2 linked regions of the Nothobranchius furzeri genome follow. The protein of the gene in region 1 binds, or shares a complex with, the protein of each later gene. Links are inferred from orthologs where the notes say so. Each region holds a gene or a part of one and is shown on either strand. Other genes may lie near its edges.

The links. The genes of interacting proteins can lie anywhere in the genome.
Region 2: snrpf (region 1) and ppil2 share a complex: the UniProt entries of both Homo sapiens proteins name them as parts of the minor spliceosome. The link is inferred for Nothobranchius furzeri from reciprocal best matches to the Homo sapiens genes SNRPF and PPIL2.

What each region holds. Positions count from the first base shown.
Region 1 is NC_091741.1:34,923,084-34,927,443, reverse strand, and holds the start of snrpf (small nuclear ribonucleoprotein F), read left to right. Parts: upstream 1-1,512; 5' UTR 1,513-1,649; coding exon 1,650-1,652; intron 1,653-2,775; coding exon 2,776-2,901; intron 2,902-4,360. UniProt on the Homo sapiens protein: Plays a role in pre-mRNA splicing as a core component of the spliceosomal U1, U2, U4 and U5 small nuclear ribonucleoproteins (snRNPs), the building blocks of the spliceosome.
Region 2 is NC_091750.1:38,489,715-38,492,143, forward strand, and holds the end of ppil2 (RING-type E3 ubiquitin-protein ligase PPIL2), read left to right. Parts: intron 1-1,573; coding exon 1,574-1,676; 3' UTR 1,677-1,802; downstream 1,803-2,429. UniProt on the Homo sapiens protein: Has a ubiquitin-protein ligase activity acting as an E3 ubiquitin protein ligase or as an ubiquitin-ubiquitin ligase promoting elongation of ubiquitin chains on substrates.

The DNA of each region.
Region 1 (4,360 bases):
GGAGGGGAGTTGGTGATCGCTGCTCTAAACACACAACAGCTGCAGGCAGATGAGAACACACCTCACCCCTCAAACGTGAAAACATTAAAGCTTCATTTTAGTCGCAGCTCTTTTTCTGGTGATTTTTCTCTTTTTCAGCTTCTTCGGTCGATGTTTCCTAAAGCCGTTCGACTTGTAGAGGCAACGTTGTTGTTGTGATTGTTGTCATTCTGGTAACTTTGATCGCTTTTATGTAATTTTGTGTCTCTTTGTGGTCGTTTTGCTGATTTTATTGGTCTTTTAGAATAAATTGTAGTTTTCTTTTCATTGTTTGTTACTAATTTAAATGATTTTTATTTCATAACTTCTAATCTTTGTGACCATTTGGTGAAAATGTCATCTTTTTTATTTTATAGCCTCGTAAGACTAATTTTGCTATTTTAAAATCATATTTAATTAATAAATAATTTCCCTTTTGTTTTTGGTTGCTTTGCACGAGTTACTTTCTTGTGACTACAGTTTTTGCAACACTGCAAATTTATTTGTGTCTCTTCATCATTTTGCAGCTCTAAATACGTTTTTAAACACATGAAAAATATATTATGCTTTCTTTATCGGTTCAGTCGGTCTGTCTGTCTGTAACAGATTTTATTACGCCTCATGCCAACAGTAGTTCTCATACAACTCATGCACCCTCTGACTGGCCACTTCTCTAAACCTCGCGTACCGTCTCCATCCCATAACTGAGACCAGACTGTCTGATGGACGGGTTAATTACACGTTGGAAAGGTGAGGTCGGGAAAATACTCAGTGATGTAAAGAAACAAGTATTTCAAACATGCAGAGAGAGATCCAGAGCAATTTCATAGGAATTTTTCTGACAAAACCCAGCCATTTGCTGAATGAAGTCAGATTTCGGTTTTATTCACCATGGCAGGTTTGAACTTGCCTGACTTTTTGGTAACAGACAAACGCTTCAGAGCAGAAAACATTTTTTAAACATCGGGCTTCTTGTGCCTGGAGAAAAACAAAGCTGCAGAGAGCAAGCATGACCCAGTTATGACAGTCGTGCCAGGTTTAGCTCCTAAACCGATATGTTTTCAATCAGTCACTGATCCTGCATGACATAAATAGAGCAGGAGTTCAACTCAAGGCAGATGACATGATCTTGTTGCTGAGAATGAAAACGAGTTTGAAGAAAATTATTACTAGTTTTTCCTGGACTTAATAACTGATTTTTTTTGCCATTTTCTTTTGTGAATGTAGAGGAGATACAACTTTTTGGACTGGACTTTATTTCTGTATCGTGCCACGAACATATAGCAGATACTCTATAAACAACTGACATATCAACCCCAGAGATCGTGCATACATATTGTAGGTGTTTAATTCACGTTTCGTTTATCAGCTCACAGTTTACTGTTCAATGGGTGACTGTAAATGAGAGGAAGAGGGGAAACTTTTGGAGCTTTACACTAAATCACTTGGGTAGCAGTTCGCTCATCCGGCCACTGGGAGGCGCTGTTTAAAGCACGGAGACTCGTGCCCAGGTCGGAAAGTTGTACTTCCGGTCGGCGGTAAAGCGTGCTTCGTGGTTTGCAAACGTTATCGAGACGAACATATTTTACTTTTTTGATTTAGCTTATTAAAGCTGTTTAATTTGATATAAAATGGTGAGTAAGACGTTGTATATCTTTATCGTCTTGCGAATGAACTATCAGGATTTAATTCAGTGTATTTTTGTTGTTTAGCGTTAGCCATGTTAGCTTTTCATTCATAACTTCGACCTAGACCTTTCACACCCTCAAACACATATTAACACAAAACTGGTGTTATAAATCTTCGGTTTCTTATTCCCTTTGGGTTGTAAGCCGTCTACTCGTTCATCACTGTTAATAAACAAGAGAAAAGACCGCAGAGGCTACATCAACCGCTAGCATCCCCTCGCTTCCTGGCAAAATAAAGTCCAAACTATTTCGCTAAGATCGTTTATCAAAAGCTTCCATAAGGAAATGAATATATATTAATAATATGTCTCTCGACCTTTAGCTATTTAATCTTTATAATGTGAGCTAACTCCTCAGGCCTTTAAGTCCACGGTGTCCTGTAGCTAGCCTTAAGAGAGATGATCGGTTTAAAACAAGCGACTCAGAATGAGCTAAGAGCATCTTTGGTGTGTGCTTGCTGTGTTGAAATTCTAATTCCATCTTTTAGTTATTTTTAAAACACAGAAAGGTTTTATTTGCCTGCAACGTTTCGTTTGCGGCTGCAAACTTCGTCAGGCTGACGCTGCAGGTAAATAAAACAGCAGTAAAGCATTTAAACCTTTTTATTAAACCACCTGACCCGGATTAACCTTTGTGTTATGGGAGAACATATTAAAATTTAATAGTGATTGAACAAAATAATGCAATTTAAAGAAAAATAACACTATTAGGATTTAACAGCTTGTTTTATTACACAGATCAGTTGCGCTGATTCATTAAACGTTTTTTATGAATAAAATTAGATTGGTTAAACAGCTGTTTGGCCATTAAGTAATTCATTAGTAAAGTCAATAAAAATGATTTACTTTGCAGTAGATTTAAAGTTTGGATTCTACGCAAAAACGTTTAATTGAATCCGGATTTCCTTCATGTTGGAGTGAGGAGTATCTGTGTTGTAGGACGGACGGCTGGGGGTACGCTGCTGTTCAGCAGCGTTACAAATTCATGAAATGTAGTCGTTAAATGCATTTAATTTTCTTCAGTAGTGTGGGATGTAATGGCTTTGCTGACCTCTGTTCTTCTTCTACAGAGTTTACCTCTGAACCCGAAGCCTTTCCTGAACGGCCTGACGGGAAAACCTGTGATGGTGAAGCTGAAGTGGGGTATGGAGTATAAAGGCTACTTGGTGTCTGTGGATGGATACATGAACATGCAGGTGGGTGCCGTTTCTCCTCCTAACAACCAAACCACAGAATCTTCTCACATGGAAAAATAAACCATTTAATTATTTGTATACCTGCTCAGGATTTGCTACTGCTTGATGATTTTATTGTGTGGTTTTATCTGTGTCAGACTTCTTTATTATCATAAATTTGGTTAAGCCAAATCAAAATAAATGATAAAATTAAATTTGTACCCCAGGAAAATTCAGCTCTTTAGACCCATCATCCTGCTTGTTTTCTATGTTTCTTTGCTTCAACACACCTGATTTGAGTCATTAGGCGAATAATGAGCTGCTTCAGAAGAATTAAGCTATTGAATCAGGTGTGTTGGAGCAGGTAAGGAACTAAAACATGCAGAACCAGGGCTCACTGATGTTCTTTAATCAGTTCAACTTCAGATCATAGTCAGACTGCTGAAAGGTGTTTATCTTCGTGTCCAGCAGGGGGCGTTGTTTGATCAGTTTGAGGGAATTTTTGCTAAAGAGACTGAAGTGAATAAAGTCATGGCTCCAAAATGTCTAAGGAAACTTCATGTAATTATAATTTTACTTATTAATATTAACAAAGCAGCCTATTTATCCTTCAGCAGCAGTAAAATACAAATGTTCCCAAAGCAGGGTGTGTTTTCAAATGTTTGCATGTATATTTGGGAACAATATCTAGGATATGCACCCAGTTGTCAGCGAAATGCAAATCAGTTCAACAGCAGTTGATGAAGTTCTAACAGCTTTTTAAAAGTCTAATCCATAAACCTCCACTGGAAAGAATATAGATGCAGGAATTAGGCCTGCAGCTATCGAATATTTTTGTAATCGAGTACTCTATCAAATCTTTTATCGATTAATCGAGTACTCTATCAAATCTTTTATCGATTAATCGAGTACTCTAATAAATGACCCTTTTGTGTTTGTAAACCATTATATCAAATAGCATGTTATAAAATATGAAAGACCTCTTAAAATGAGTACGCTATTGCCAGTTATTCTTCAAGTTTTATTCAAAATCAGTTTGCAAAACTTCAGCACTTCAACTTTACTTCACAGTAAACAAATGCCTGTGCAAAAAATAAGTAAACAACCTGAGCTAATTTCCCCCGGTGTGAGAATCTACGAGCCTGCAAGCCAGACAAAAACTAGGATAACTGTTGAAGTAGCGCTGCGAGTGGCTGCGGCCCAAACAGAACCAGAACCGCTCACGGCGCATGCGCAATCATGGCTCGCCAGCTGTTTCCCTATTAACACACGTCCGTTTTAATTTCTACACTTTATTTTCTCACACAATAACAAGGATTGTCGAGAAAGCATGTTTGCCGTGGTTTTGTCGAATTATACTGATCACAAAACATTTATTTACTTTCGTTTTCCTCTCATAAATACCCGCGTCCTCCTGCAGCAACCCCGAGGGACAACAGACGTCAATAACAACACAGTAAAAAGTCTGACGTGTTGTAAA
Region 2 (2,429 bases), on another chromosome or scaffold:
TGTAAAGACAAGTACACATAACTACTGTTCTCGTTTTAACGAGACAACTCCATGAGGCTCCAAAACATCAAACTGTTTCTCTACTTGGTTCTTAGAAATCTGATTGAAGACATTATGAATTAAAATAATACAAAAGACAGAATGAAGCAGAATTACCCCAAGATTCCACTACCTCCGCTCCGGTCCGCCCCCGCCCTCCGCAGCCGCTCGCATCCGAACTCAATTTTTACTGGTACCCGCTCTGCAACGGCTCCGCTCCGGTGCGGAGACCTGAGGTGCGCAAACAGGCATGCGCAGGATTTTCGAGATCTTGCGATACAGTCCGAGTAATAAACACGGAAGTTGGATCCAAACACCTGTTGTGTGGGAGAAGCATTGAAATGAACTGTTTAATCTGCCCATCATTTGTGTTGAGAGATCAGCAGTGTTTGGATCAACAAAGTGTGACTACTTTGATAGTGGAAACTGTATTTATGGCTTACTTTTGTGCATTTAAAGTTCAGCCGCCATTGATAGTTGTTAAAAGTTGTTAAACCTGTGCATATGAAACAAAAAATGCTTTTTGTTTATCGATTTATTGTGAAATAACGGAAGTTGTGCTTGCTCCCTTTCCTGTTGGGCGGTTGTGGTTTCTGTCCATTGACTGCGGAGGTGTTCCGGCGTCTGGCAAAAACAGAATCAATCCTATTTTTGCCGGATGGCGGAACGGCCGCTGTAGTGGAACAGCTCTGATTGACTACAACGGGACCGATTTTGCTGCGGAGTTCGTGCCGGAGCGGAGGTAGTGGATTTTTGGGGTTAAAGTCTCTTTCTGGAGTATTTCTTTTATCCCATGGCACCATCTAGTGGTTGACAAACATGTCACACAAAAAGTCTGTTGCTCTGTTTTTTTAAGATGGCGACTTCTCGTTTCTGTTTATAAATGTGCTTCTGTAGCGACAAACGGCTAAAACACATCGTTTAACGAGTATTGTGCTCATGTCATTTTGTGTTTTCATATTTTTATATTTTAAAGACTTTCTTGTCCGTGAAAAGTTCATCAACTCTGTATCAGCCGAGGTATTCCTTAAATTTGAAGCAAGTAAGCGGTAGTCTAACACTATTGGTTAGTTCTGGTTTCTTATTGCACGGAGCTCTGCAATATGTCTCTATAAAATAAAGACATATTACTGACATTATATCGCAGTACATGCTGAGACGATCACTTTTACGGATTTCTGAATAACCATACATGATTTCTGAAAGTAGAAAACTCTGGAAAGTTACTTTAACTGAATGGGAAAACGTCTCACATTGGTAGAAAAAGACAGCTGATTATGAAGGTCAGCCAGCATCAGTGTCCCGTCCTGGGGGTGTACCACGTAGATCCCAGATCCCACAATCCAGGCTCTCTTTGAAAATCCCGGTTTAAATACCTTAATTCAGTAACATGAACGTGGCTTTTAACATTGACCGTACTTTACTCAGATCAATAATTATTTCTGACATACGCTATACATGACTTCCATTTAAAATGAATTAATACTTTCCTCATTTATCTGCAGCAGATGATATTATGAATGTTCTCCTGCAGAAAACGTCCAGCAGCAGAAGATGAAAGCGGGCCGTCCACCAGCGGCGCTCCACCCAAGAAGTCCAAAGGAAAGACGAGTTTCGGGGACTTCAGTTCCTGGTAGCATTGGTTCAACGTGGTTCTGGATTCAAACGATCAGAAAAACTCGTTATTTTTCATTTCTTATTATTTTTGTCTCAGCTTTGTTACTGTTTTCTAAAACTACATTAAAGCTACTTTTCCCCAAAAACTGCTTTTGATTTGATTTCTGTATAAATTCTGCTTAAACGAAGAAGTCAAAACATAAAAAAAGAATTCTTATGTTTGTTGATGCTGAAACTTTGGTTGTGATGTGAAACGTGATTACGCAGATTTGATCTACGGGTGTTTCAGCAGCATCACAGAAAATGTTTAACCTGTAGTTTCAGAAAGAAGGTTTAAAAGCATTTTCAGTAGAAATGTCCAATGTTATCAGTCGGCCATTAACAACGGCATAAAAGTGGAATATCTGAACATATCTATCAGTCTTTTAATGAGCCAACTCTTACATCCCATACACATATTATAAATCAACTCTGCAGTTACTTCTGTCTCTCAAACTGTCAACATAACAAATCTGAGGTTCATTTTGAGATATTTTTGTTTATTTGGAACAACTTGTGAAGAAGAAATTTGCCCTCTGTAGTGAACGTACTCTGTCCTCACGGCACGTAGCTGCGTGTTGCTAGCAGCTAACAGCACATGTTTTGCTGGCAGCTAACAGCACGTGTGTTGCTAGCAGCTAACGGCACATAGCTACGTGTTGCTAGCCAGTAAACAACTAAAACAAAAAGGCTTGTTTTTAAAGAGCAAGTCACCCAAATCAGTTTTTTTTCCT